Macaca fascicularis: one gene and its partners. The protein of the gene in region 1 purifies or fractionates together with the protein of each later gene. This does not show direct contact. Links are inferred from orthologs where the notes say so. Each region holds a gene or a part of one and is shown on either strand. Other genes may lie near its edges.

Region 1 (4,056 bases):
CACCCTGTCCTCCCCTGGCCTCCACCTCATCTGACACTCCAGAACCCGCTGCCCCAAGCCCCTACACACTGTTCTATTCCTCAGCCTCTCTGAACACCCCGGCACCATGGGGCCTAATGCCTGTCCTCCCCTGCCAGGGAACAGCTCTGGGGCAACAGGCAGCGGGGTGCCCTCCCTGCCACCAAGATTTGGCGCCTGGAGCTGGTGGAGGGTTGGCCGCACCGCTCCGGGGCACACCAGCTCCTGCTCCCCCAACCTATGGCTTTGGTGCAGAGCCCTAGGCTGGCGCAGAGAAGGGAGAGAGCAGGAGAGGTGGGTGGGGGAAGAAGGGAGGTTCTGCGGCTCAGTTTGTGGCAAAGAAGTTTTTTTTTTTTTTTTTTTTTTTCCTTTTTTTCACCTTTTTCTTATGTAAAAAGTGCACGAGAGCTCGGCAGCCTTTGCAAAGGTCAGCAGGGTTTCCCGGGGCGGGGGAACTGGGAGGGGCCCCAGGCCTGGCACCCAGCTTGCGACTGAAGGTGGCCTCGTATTGCTTAGAAACGTGTGTTTCAGTTTAAATACCAGACAGTAAAAATAGAGCTCGAGGACCACCCGCACTGTTGCCAAATCATTGCCAGAATGAACAGCTTAAATAAATAAAAAATCGAAATATTTACTTCTCGATAAAAATCCCAGTAAAACCATTTACCTTTCTTTGCATTATATATAATATATATTTATAACGGGCCCGGCTGCGGGCGGCGGAGCCGAGGGCAGCGGAGGGGTCAGGACACCTCGATGACCTCCACGCTGCCCGAGAAGCTCGCCTGCTTGCCCAGGGCGGCCAGCTCCTCGCCGCGCGCACGCCCCTCCACCATGCCCTCCTCGAACTCCATCTGGCAGCTGCGGCGCTTGAACTGCGTCTCCGGGGCCGGCTCGTCCGGCCAGCCGGTCCGCGCGTCCCGGGGCTCAGCCCTCGCTGCCTCCCGCCGCCGCAGGTCGCTGCTGCCGCCGCCCGGTCCCGGGGCGCCCACCCGGCCGAAGGGCGCAAACAGCACCCCGCCCGCCCCCTGCGCGCCCTCGGGGCTGAAGCACCAGGGCCCGTCGGGCGACGGCGTGCCCGGGGAGTCGAGCGGCGGTGCCCAGGCGCCGGGGCCGGCTGGCTGGCCAGGACCGGGCAGCCCGGGCGCCGACAGGGCCGAGAGGCCGTGCCGCGGAGTCTGCCGGGCCGCGTCGCCAAAGTTCAGGCCGAGGCTGTGCGCGGGGGAGCGTGCGGGGGAGCCGGCGGGGGGCCGGGGTCGCCGGCGGGGCCGTGGGCGCGCCTCGGGTGCGGCGTCGGGGCTGTCCGGGCTGGGCGAGGGCAGGCCCAGCGCGGTCCCCGATGGGCTGTCCAGCTTGCAGAGTTTCGGGGCCTCGCCGGGGTCGGGGGGCCCGGGGCCGTCGGGCCGCCTGCTGGGGGCGTAGGCCGACTTGATGTCCAGCGAGAAGGAGCGCTTGAGGCGGTTGGTGTCCTGCAGGCGGTCCGAGGAGAGGTGCAGGCCCCGCAGGCCCTGTTGCAGCGCGCTGGTGGCCGGGGGCGTGGGGGGCGTGGGGGGCGCGGGGGGCTCCCCGCCCGTGCTCAGGCCGCCCTCCCTGGCAGCCGCATTCCCGGTGGCAGCGCTCTCTGAGGTAGGTGGTGGCAGCCGTGGCAGCGGGGCCCCGGCGGCAGGGCTGGGCGGGGGCTCCGGCGTCCCTGAGGGGGTGCCCGCGTCGCTCTGCAGGGCGGCCAGCAGCTTCAGGCTGCGCTCGTACTCCAGCAGCTGGCCCAGGAAGTTGAAGTTGGGCGAGATGGATGGGCGCCTGTCCTTCACGAACCTGCGTGGGGTGGGGGGGGAGAGGCTTAGTCCCAGGCGCCCGCCAGGGCCGGGCTGCCCACCTGACGTCACCCGCTGGGCACCCATGAGCTCATGTGCGCCAGGCTGGTCTCAGGCCCTCCTCCCTTGCCAGGGGTCCTGGACGGTGGGGCCATTCTGGTGCAACTGGGCAGCCGAGGGAAGGCAGGTGACTCCGTGAGTCACAAGCGCGTGACTGGGGAAGGCGGTACCTGTAGGCGTCGTCGGAGGACATGCCCATGGTCTTCATGATGTAGGCGATGGCGATGGTGGCAGAACGGGAGATGCCGGCCAGACAGTGGACGATGACTTGGCAGCTGGAGAGCTTGGCTTTATCTGGGCAGGTGGGCCATGGGGGCCAGGTGAGGGCTAAGCCTGCACAGCTTCTCCCTGGCCCAGGGAGGGGACCCCACCTGCCCGACTGCCAACAGTTCGGGCTACTTCCCCGGGACCCCTCCTGTGCCTGTGGCCACGCCCAGCTCCAGCCTTCCTCTAGCCAGGCCCCCGCCCTCCGCCCGCCACAGGCTCACCGATGAACTCGATGGACTTGTCCAGCCAGGGCAGCAGTTTTTCACAGTAGTTGTCATTGATGGGGACCCTCATGAAGCGGCTCTCGCAGATGAAGTCAGGCTTGGGGCAGGAGTTGCTGGCATTGAGGACGTAGCTTATTCCATTCTGCGTCATCAGATCCTGGAGGGGCGGGAGGACGGGTTGGAAAGGGGTGGGAGAAGCTGGGGGCGGGAGTGAAGGCGGAGGCTTTTCCTGCCCTGCCGTCAGGAGGGCCTTCAGAATCCTGGGGTGGTCCTGGGAGCCTTGGAACCTGTCCCGGATCCCAGTGTATCCAGGGGTGGGCCCAGGAGGCCTCTCTGGTCCACCCTGGCACCCTGGGCCTGTGCGGGGGGTGGGGGCATGGCTGGCCTCCATCTGCAGGCCCCACCCATGGCCGGTGGTGGGCTCCTAGGAATTTTATGGTTGCCTGGGTGGTGGCTTTTACCCTTTTCCCTCGTCACCATGTTTAAAACACGGGATTCTTTCAGAGTTGGACAGGGGCCCAGTGACATCCGAAGCTTGGCATGCCAGCTTCCCGCTCCTCCCCCAAGCCCTGCTGGGCCCTCCCCCAAGCCCTGCTGTGGTCCTGCCGGGGGCAGGGGTGGGGAACCTGTGGTCCTCCTGGGCCCCCACCCATGCTTCTCCCACACCCAGCTCATCCACTGCCTTCAGCTCCTTTCCTCCCTCATCCCCCACGCTGCTGCCAAGCTGCCTCTGGAGCTCCTGCCCCTTTCCCATTGACCGCCCCCCAAGTCCACTGCACACACACCTTGTTCAGGACGTCTTTCTGCGAGCCCAGGTAGAGGTGAGGCAGGATGCGGGTCAGGCCCACGCTGGGCACAGGCAGGCAGGGCTGGGAGAGGCTCATGGGTAGCAGGGCAGCAGGCTTGCCCTCACAGAGGCCGGGGAAGCAGGAGGAGAAGGTGGCGAAGCCCCCTGTAGGAGGAGGCCCGTCAGGTGGGTTGAGAGAACACCTAGGCCTCCCCGTCTGCCTAGGGTGCCCTGTCCACCTAGGGCACCCCATCTACTGCTGAGGATCAGTCACACCCAGCTCAGACCCGAGCCTCAGCCCAGCCAGCAAGCCTCTGGCAGCGCACCTGCTCTGGCCGCGGTGGGGGAGGGGGTGCTGCCACACATTTACAGCCCACACCTACGCCCACATTCCTCCTCACGCTAATTAGGGCCTGACCCAGCCGAGGACGCTGCTATGATGCCGGTAAAGGTGGGGTTGAGGTGGCTGGCCAGTGCGGCAGGTGCTGGACCCAGGCAGGGGCAGGCTCAGAGGTCACAGGAGTCTCCTGCTGAGGGTGTGGGTCACACAGCCCAGAGGAGAGGCCCTCATGAGCACCCCCGTCTCCCATACCCACGGCCGGGAGCCAGGCTGGGCCTTCCTCCTCCCCTGCGCTGATGCAATGCCTCCCTGCCTCCGGCTGGCTGGGAGCCCCAGGCCTGGGCTTAGGTGCCAGGACCAGGAGGCCAGGGCTTCCGAGAGGCCCTCCCCCTCCCCAGGCATGACATCACCCTGGCACAGCCCTGGGGGCATTTGCCATCTGGTTATGGCTCTACTCCACCCAGCAGGGGAGGACAGAGAGTGGAGGAGCCCTGGGCACTGGGGGCACGCGGGGCAGGCAGTGGGCACCCACTGCACATGTGACCGGCG
Region 2 (4,506 bases), on another chromosome or scaffold:
CCAGCAGAGCTGGCCTTTCCTGAAGTTCTCCATCTTATCCTGCTTAATCTCATCACAGGACCTTCGCATGCAAAGTTCTCTCTAAAATATTCTCTGTCTAGTCAAACCTATTCCCAGCTCAAGGGACAGTTCCTCAGGGAAATCTTTTCTGGCCTTACTAACTAGTGTATTAGTTAGTTTCATAATATTATGTATCCTTAACAATTTGTATTATAATACAGTGATAATTTTGCATTTACTGTTATTACTTTCATAGTACAGTGATTAAATCTGTAAACTCTATTGTACTGCTAGGCACTGAATGGGCCTGCAATAAATAATTATTGCAGGAATAAAGGATGGAAGGAAGGAAATTAAGAAGGTTGAGAGGGAGGAAAAGAGGAAATGGGAAGAGAATGAATGAATAATCACCTGTATGTTCGCTTTTAGAATCACCAGAAAGAGGCCAGCCCCACATGTAATAGGAAAGTAGTCTACCTGAAATCATTCATTCATTCAACAAATATTTATATATTCTTTATTAAAGTAACTTACTTGTTTCCGATTGTGAACATAACTATTCCTCTTGGAAAACATGAGAAAATACCCAAAGTATAAAAGAGAACCAAGTCACCCTTTATTCCATAGTCCAATGACGAACCATTGCTAACATAATTTGGTGTATTTCTTTCCAGGTTTTTTCTATGTGTATATATAGTAACTAAGTGGGATCGTTCTATATATAAGACTTGTTTCTTGCTTCTTTCTCTTAATGATATATTGTTAACATTTTCCTGTGTTGTTAAGAATTCCTTGAACACATGGCGTTTAAATTGCTAAAATGTATTCTACTGCATGGATGTAGGTAACTTAAACGCCTTTCCACCTGTTGTTGGATATTTAAAGGCTTGTCAATTTATCGCTTCTGTAACATTTACACGTTTTGTGGGGCCTCAGAGGTAAACCAGGTAATGCAAGGAATCTGGGAAGAGGTGGATTTGCAAGGAATCTCGGAGGAAGTGGATTTTGGAAAAACTGGAGGAAGCTTTACCGGGGCAGCTGAAGAGAACACTTATCTCTCTGTAGGTTGCTGGGATCCGGACAGGTGTCCTCAGCATGGAACGTACTGTCGGTCAAGGTAACCAGCTCTTCATCACTCAGGTGTGTACCAGGAAGGGGTGTCTGTTCGCTGCGCAAGTTTGGCCTAAGCTCACCTGCCCTTCAAACCCTGTGGTGACGAGGCCCGAAGCCTTAAGCTCCGACCTGGCTACCGCCGCCAACCAGATGCAGTCCCCTGGGGCCACGCGCCGCCACGTGCCACCACAGGGCCCGCCCCTCCCGCTCCTGGCCACGCCCCTCACCCACTGCCCTCGGAGGCTCTCTCCGCGGCTCCGCCTCCAGGCGACCTCCGCAAGTTCTCTCAGCCCCGTGGAGTAGCCCCGCCCCCGGCCAGCGGCCCCGCCCCCGCAATCCGGGCCCCGGGGCTGCCCCGCCCCGCAGGCCACTCGGGAGGCGCGGGGGCGGCGCCCTGCGCGATGACGTGGGCGGGCGTGCGCGGTGACGGCCCGCGTCCCTGTTACTCAGCGGAGCGGCCGAGGCTGGACGACGCGGCTAGGATCGCGGAGCGGCGAGCAGACCTGGGTAACGGCCGCGGCGACCGCTCGGACCGCCCCTGTCCCCGCTGGCGGGCTTCCCTGTCGCCGTTCGCTGCGCTGCCGGGTGAGTGCGGCGGATGCCGCAGGGCCTGGGCGGCAGGCGGCCCCGTCGTGTTTATGTTATTGTGCCGCTGCCGCCGCCTTCTCCTCAGCCGTAACCCCCTCCCGGGAGTGGGGGCGGGAGCGCGCGGCGGGCGGGGGCGGCGCGGGAACAATAGCGGCGCAGAGGCGGGGGCCGGCCAAGGGGGCGTGGGGCTGCGGGACCTGGGCGCGCTCCGCTACCCGCCAGCCCGCCCGCCGCGGCGAGCCCCGCCCGCCTGTCCTCTCGCGTCCTCTTCGCGCGGGTCCTGCCTCCGCGGCGGGAGAAGAAAATAGCGGGGGGGTGGGTGGCAAGTTCTGAAACACTTCGGCAAGGGTCGGACAGAGGCGTCTCCGCGGCCCGCCGCACCCTGGCTGCCTCCGGGGCGGCGAGGAGCCGGGAAGAGGGCTTCTACCAGCGGGTCCCCAAGCCTGCCCCGCGCCCATGGGGACCGTATTTTGCTTCTCGGTGGTTTCTTTGTGCTCAGGTTCTGGGCGAAGGCAGGCAGCAGCGCTGAAAAGGGCCGGGATGGCCTGCAGCTCTGGGCTGCGAGGCACAGCCCAGGCCCGTGGTTCGGGTGGGAGGTGTCCATCCAGCTTGGCCCGAGCTTCGGTGGTCAGCGCACATTTCTCTTGAGGGTCACTCGGTGGTGACCTTTTGACTTTTTCACCCCACCCTCCCATCTCTTTGTCTCACATTTGTGTTCCGGATTCAGAGATGGTAGAACCAAGTCCATTTTAAAGTACCCTGATGAACACTTTCCGTTTTTATTTCTGAAAGTTCCCCGCCTGGTCTTTATTGCGAATTTAATAACATGTTAACTACATGGCATTGTCCAGTGATTACCGTTTTTACCTCTGAAATTCAGCGATCTGTCCAGTAGAATTCTGGTCCGTCAGTCCATTGTGTTTTGAGATAGGCATCCAGCAAATACCTCTTTGGCAATTAGAACATGTTTTTTCATTCATTCATTCATTCAACAACTGTTCGGTACCGTACCCAGATGAAGAGGTTTGGTTTGAAGGTAAAGGAAGGTATCCTTTCATGGAAGAGGATGCTTTGACTGAAGTATAATAGATGGACCTTTAAATGAGAGAATTACATAAGAGATGTCTGTTAAGGAAGGTATGGTTATGTTCTGGGTCATTTTTTAAGCAGTATATCTGGAAGTTCAAGTGTAATGTTAGGAAGTAGAATTAGATTTGGTCTAAATATACAACAGCTTTTGTTTATTTCTAAATTTTATTTTTTCCAGTCTTGCAGCCTTACAGTCATTTGTAATGGTTACCTCAGATTCCCCTGCTGTGGTTAACGTTAAACCTAGGAGGTCAGATGCTCTAAGTGAACATGTTTAGTGCTGTGCCTGACAAAAGCAAGCAATCAAAATGGGACTTCCTTGAGGGCAGGCCTGTCTTGCATCTGTTTCTCCACCACCTAGCCTGGAATATAGTAAGTGTTCAATAAAAGTCGGATTGATGAAAAGCTCTTTGTAATTGATAATATTTAAATTCAAGCCTTAAAAAAAACTGTAATGTTCTCCATAAAGTTTTGGAAGCTTCATGCAACTGTCGCTTCAGATGGCTAAATGATCAGTTCATGTACATTATCTGTTATGATGACATGGGCTTTTGAATCACGTGTAGGTCATTCACTGTCCTAAAATAAAATCTTGTCTAAATGTTTTTTTAATATGATTAATAAACTAAAGTAGGTTGTGGGGTGTGTGTTTCTGTGTATGTACTAGTTTATGTGTGTCTGTGTGTGTATGTACGTAATGCACACACAGGCACACATAAACTGGTATTTCAGTAGGGGTCTAAAATGATTGCATTTATAATTTTGTGAATATTATTTGAAAGGTTTTTGGTGACTCATTTTGTGAAAAATTGAGGACAAAGCCACATAAATGTTTTATTAGAAATATTTCTAATATTTTGGAAATGTTTACTTGAAATGTTTGGTTTTAAGTTCTAACTTGTGTTAACACATTGGTACAAAATATGATCCTAAAACTCAAAATAATTCATTTATCCAAGTTAAAGCTCTTTTCCACTCCCTGAACAGTTTAGCGTTTGTTTTGGATTTGAAAGAATACGAAAAGAGTGAACTAATTAATGAGCTTCTTATTATTTGGTGTAAAGTGGAAATGAAGAAATAAGAAAATGATACTTTTTTAAGATGAGGGATGAAAACCTTTGAGATACCAACGTTTTATTGCTTTACCTAGTTAAGGTATGTCAGCTTCTAGTAGGGGTTACTGACAATCCTTTGGCAGTAGCTCACAGTCAGCCTATGTAAAGAACCAGAGTTGTGTTATTTTGTTTTCCAAATTATTGGTTTTTAAAAATAGCTTTATTGAAATTTAATTGACATGAAATTCACCTGTTAGAGTGTATATATTTCAGTGGTTTTTAGTATATTCACAATGTTGTGCATTGATCACCATCACCAATTCCAGAACATTGTCATCACCCCAAGAAGAAACACCATATTCATTAGCAGTCACTCTGAATTTCACTTCAAATTATGCTTTAAAGTAAGAGATATAGCATCGATTCTGTTAGTAAATATATTCCTTTAATAAGTATGAAAAGGGCTCCTTTTAAGTGTCCTGTCCTGGCAGAATAGGAAACTATATCCTTCACACTCCTTTAGATCGGGGGAAATGCCATTTGGAAAGGAAGTTAGTGCAAGAATACATTGTACACAAATTAATGTGGTTAGAATCTTAAGTATTTGCTACATGCCTGATATTATCGAAGTGACCTTGGGAGGATGAGATGTTCAGTGAAA
Region 3 (4,609 bases), on another chromosome or scaffold:
AAGAAAAAAAATCTGGTCTCTGTTTTATGTCTCACGAAAACTGGTCTAGTCACTATTAACTGGTTTGTCTGGTCCTTTTCTTTATCCAGAAAATTAAAAATATTTTATCTTAGACACATTCAAGAATCCCCTCTAATGTTTATTCAGGGAACCAAATAAACAGATTTTAGTCTGTGAACAAATTAATGTTCTGGCACCCTGAAAATTAAATTACCAGGAAAATCAAAGCTGTCCAGAGAAGTCTATGCAAAAATAGTATTGTTTTTAACTCTGCAGGATCCTTTTGAAGAAAAATTTAAAAGTTAAATCAAGGAAAACATTAAATAGATTGGTGGTCATTCTTCCAGAAGAAGTTAAAAGCCAAAAGAGAATACTCAGAGCTGAGGGACTCAGGAAAGAATCCTTATCTAGGGAGAGATCTGGGTTCGGATTCCACTCACCAGCTGCTTGCTAAGAAGCAGACTACTCAAACTCCTGAGCTTCCGTTTCCACAGGGCTCCAGTTACAATCAAATGAGTATCTGGGCTGGCACCTGGGCAAACAGGGCCTGACTCTCCTGGCCTTAGGCTACCTTTCCTGCTCTCCTCACAGCTCCTCCCTCCCACACAGCCACTCCTGGAGGATGACAATCTGCAACCAAGCTGAATGAATCTGTATTTGGCTTGGCTCACAGCATTTAAAAAAAAAAAAAAAAAATTAATTAGCTATTGCCAACATTTAAAAATCGGAACAAATGTGGAGTGCTGCCTTCTGTTTTAGAGACAGGGTCTTGCTCTGTCACCCAGGCTGGAGCACAGTGGTGCGATCATAGCTCACTGCAGGCTCAAAATCCTGGGCTCATGGGATCCTTCCACCTCAGACTCCCAAGTAGCTAGGACTACAGGTGGATGCCACCACACCTAGCTAATTTTCAAAAATTTTTTGTAGAGACAGGGATCTCACTGTTGCCCAGGCTGGTCTTGAACTCCTGGCCTGAAGTGATCCTCCCACATCAGCCTCCCAAAGTGTCTGAGATTACAGGCGTGAGCCATGGCACTAGTCAAATTCCACCTTCTTCTAGAAAACTGCTAGGTAAGGTTCCAGTTCTTCAGAGTCCCCACGACTCTGTGCCCTTACACCTGGCCCTCCAGACTGATTCTCAACTCCACAGTGGGCTATGGTCCTTACCTGGCCCTGCTCCTTCATACCTCTGCCTCTCCCTGCCTAGCAAATTTCTCATCACCCTCAAGGCCCCCCAGCATCACCTGTCACCTCCTCCACATTTCCATGGCATAGCCCCTCCACGACAGCAAGGGTTGCACAGTCCTGGAACTAAGTGTCTGCATGCCTGCCTTCTCTACTGGGCTCCTGGGCTCTCTTCGGAAAGGGACCCTGTTGCTATCTGCCTTGTGTCCCTAGGGCCTAGCAGAAAGCATGACCTAGATAATGCAGAATTCAGTAAATGTCTCCTGCATGTGTGGAAGAAAGCTAGAGCTAAACCATTATAAAAATGTGAGATTTTACATCACAGCTTGTTCCAACGGTTAGCAATTAAAGGGGTCAAGGACACCAAAATGTTTCACAAAATAGAACAAGCTTCCATCTGCTTACAAGTTTCACACGTTAATCAGAAGTCACTAAATTAACAGATAAAGCAGAGACAACAGGGAGACTGAGCCATTTCTTTGATCATTCATTCATTCATTGAGCTGATACTACTGAATACTTACTGTGTGCTTTCTAAGTACTGGGGATAAAGCAGTGGACAAATCAGACAGCTACCTGTTTTCACAAAGTTACATCCTAGTCGGGGAGACAGAAAATAAACAGGCAAATAAATAGAAACGTTTCAAACCAGGTAAGAGCTAGGAAGGAAATTTTTAAAATAATGAAATAGCATGACTAAGGGAAGAAAGAGGGTGGTCGAGGAGGGCCTCACCCAAACCGAGACATCTGGCCAGAGGAAGGAGCAGAAAGAGCTACTTGTGCCAAGATCACGGACAACTCCAAAGACGAGGAAACAGCAAATACAAAGGTCCTGGGGCAAATGCGGGCTGGCATGTTCAAGGCGGGCGAGATGAGTGGACTGGGGCAGCAGTCTTCTGGGAGAGGGGTGTGGTGGTAAGGGATGTGGGCTGGGTCCCCTCCGGCACTGCTGGACACTGAGTGTGCAATGACAAGGCAAGGGAGGCGTGCGTGGGGAGGCGGGAGGCTGGGCGGATGAGGAGGGGGTTCCTACACCACTCACACCGGCAAGGGCCAGCACCCTGCCCAATCTTCCACAAATGTTCACCGGCGTCCTGCCCAGGCGTCTGCATACACTCACACAGCCTGACAACAACCCTGTCCAGAAGAGGCATTTCCCCACCTTCCTGAAGGCAAAACCGCGGCAGAGCGAGGGTCAGTGCCTTGGTCAAGGTCGCGGGGACGCGACCCCGGGCCCCTGGGCCCCCGGCGCAGGAGTGCAGCTGTTCGCCCCACCTCCGCGAGGGATGGCGCCCGCAGACCCCACGGGCAGGTCGGCCGGGCCAGGCCGGGGAGCAGGCCCGCAGCCCGGAGCCGCTGACAGCCGGGCGGAAGGGGGCGCCTGCGGCATCCCCGAGCACAGGGGCGACGGCTGCGGCTGCCAGGGCCCCGCAGCCCCCGGCCCACCCCGAAACCCCGGCCGCGCGGTTCCCCCGCCGCCCCTCCCCGCGGGCCCGGCCCGAGCAGCCGCCGGCAGGCCTAGCCCGCCCGCCGGGCTCACCTCGCCTCCCCGCCGCCGCGCCACGGGGAGAGGGCGGGCGGGCGGACTGGCGGCGCTGCGTGCTAGTCACTCCTGGCTCCGCGGCCCCGGCTCCGCCACCGGCCCGCCCCGCTCCGCTCCGCCCCGCCGCCGCCGCCGCCGCAGTGGGTGTGAGGGGCGCCGGGGCGCTGCGACCCTTCCGGTCCCGCTCCCTTCTCTGCCGCTGCCGCCGCCGCGGCGCCCGGTCTGACCGACCCTCGGGCCGACCAATCAGCGCGCGGAGAGCGGAGCAGGCGCGGCCAATGGCGCCTGGGGGGCGGGCCGCTGGAGGTGGTGTGGGCGGGGCCGGGGGCCGGGTCGGGCGCCCGAGGTCCTGGGCCCGGGTTCCGTGGGTTCGACGCCCCCGGGCCTTTCAGTGGCGTCGGCCGACCGGCCATGGCGCTCGGGTGCGCGCCGCGCACGCGGTGAGCTGGAGACGCAGGCACTGCGCGTCCCACCAGCTGAGCCCGCTGTCCGCGCGAGGGGGCCGCAGCTCGGGGGAGAGGGTGGCCCGGAGGACCGGGAACCGGGCTGGAGGCGCGCGGGGCTCACACCGCGGGGTCCGCGGGGAGCCGGGCCTCGCCTACAGGTGCAGGCTCGTGGCGGCGAGGCGGCCTGGAGCAGCACGGGAGGCCGCCCGTTTCGGGGAGAGCCCGGGGCGATCGCGGGGAGAGGCCGGCCTGGCGTCCGGGAGCCCGGCGTGCTAGGGCCCGGGAGGCGGGGCTGGCCTTGTACTCGGTTGCTCGCTGCGGCGCCGCAGGAACGGGTCTGTGGGGGTGTGGGTGAGGCCAGAAGTCGGGTTGGAGAAGGGGAGGGGGTGCGAAGAGATGGCCGTGTGTAGACAGGTTACCCGATGGGTCGGTGACGCAGGAGGGGAGTGCGCTTGGTGGCGGGGTGACTTAGTTGACAACATTTAAAAATTGGGAGGTGCGGCAGGGCGCGGTGGCTCACGCCTGTAATCCCAGCACTTTGGGAGGTCGAGGCGGGTGGATCACCTGAGGTCAGGAGTTCGAGACCAGCCTGGCTAACCAGGTGAAATCTGTCCCTATTAAAAATACGAAACAATTAGCTGGGCGTGTTTGCGGGCGCCTGTAATCCTAGCTACTCGGGAGGCTGAGGTAGGAGAATCACTTAAACCCGAGAGGCGGAGGTTGCAGTGAGCCGAGATTGCACCATTGCACTCCAACCTGGGCGACAGAGTGAGACTCTGTCTCAGAAAAAAAAAAAAGGGAGGTGCTCAGTCAAGTCTCTGAGAGGGGTGGGGGGCGGGGCGAGGAGTCCCTTGCTCAGGGCCCCCTAGGGACTGGGACCCGTTGACTCTTGAGTTGCTTTTGAGGCTGGATCAGGTACCAGCGGCCTGGGGGTCGTACAGGATGGGAGAGGCCGGGACTTGGGATGTTGCCAGATCTACGTTGAAAAGTGAAGCAGGAAGCGCGGCACGAGGCTATGCACATGGGGAAAACCGCGGAGAGCCGGGCTTTGGGGACTGGAAGAGTGGGAACAGTGGTTGACAAATGGTGAGTGGGGGGTAGAACAGCAGTAACACAATACCAGTATCCACGGAGTGGCCAGGGCCAGAGTTGGGAGAAGGAACAGGACTCTGCAGATGGGGAGGGCAAGGGGCTGGGTGGTGTGAAGGGTGGTTGCAGACTTTGGGGAGGGCAGCTAGCCTGTGACCCAGATTCCAAGGGCACTGAGGGCTGGGCCAGGCCGCTTGGAGGCACCAGAGCCTCAGAGGAGGGGTGGGGTAGAGGAACGGATGCAGCATGGTGTCCTCCTTGGCCACCAGAGGGAGTTTGCTAAATCTCAGCATGGCTCATCGCGGCTTGAAATTCTACCTCGCAGTGTGGCCTGCATTGAGGAGGG

What was found.
Region 2: the proteins of DUSP8 (region 1) and MAPK8 purify together in Homo sapiens (affinity purification with mass spectrometry; 3 studies listed by BioGRID and IntAct, counting the BioPlex papers as one, with this or other methods). This does not show direct contact. The link is inferred for Macaca fascicularis from reciprocal best matches to the Homo sapiens genes DUSP8 and MAPK8.
Region 3: the proteins of DUSP8 (region 1) and MAPK9 purify together in Homo sapiens (affinity purification with mass spectrometry; 4 studies listed by BioGRID and IntAct, with this or other methods). This does not show direct contact. The link is inferred for Macaca fascicularis from reciprocal best matches to the Homo sapiens genes DUSP8 and MAPK9.

The regions. Positions count from the first base shown.
Region 1 is NC_088388.1:1,476,678-1,480,733, forward strand, and holds part of DUSP8 (dual specificity protein phosphatase 8), read right to left. Parts: intron 3,333-4,056; coding exon 3,166-3,332; intron 2,538-3,165; coding exon 2,378-2,537; intron 2,184-2,377; coding exon 2,060-2,183; intron 1,831-2,059; coding exon 762-1,830; 3' UTR 109-761; coding exon of another isoform or gene 70-108; 3' UTR 1-69. UniProt on the Homo sapiens protein: Has phosphatase activity with synthetic phosphatase substrates and negatively regulates mitogen-activated protein kinase activity, presumably by catalysing their dephosphorylation.
Region 2 is NC_088383.1:57,511,464-57,515,969, forward strand, and holds the start of MAPK8 (mitogen-activated protein kinase 8), read left to right. Parts: upstream 1-1,554; 5' UTR 1,555-1,698; intron 1,699-2,968; exon of another isoform or gene 2,969-3,162; intron 3,163-4,506. UniProt on the Homo sapiens protein: Serine/threonine-protein kinase involved in various processes such as cell proliferation, differentiation, migration, transformation and programmed cell death.
Region 3 is NC_088380.1:187,194,253-187,198,861, forward strand, and holds the start of MAPK9 (mitogen-activated protein kinase 9), read right to left. Parts: upstream 2,953-4,609; 5' UTR 2,726-2,952; intron 1-2,725. UniProt on the Homo sapiens protein: Serine/threonine-protein kinase involved in various processes such as cell proliferation, differentiation, migration, transformation and programmed cell death.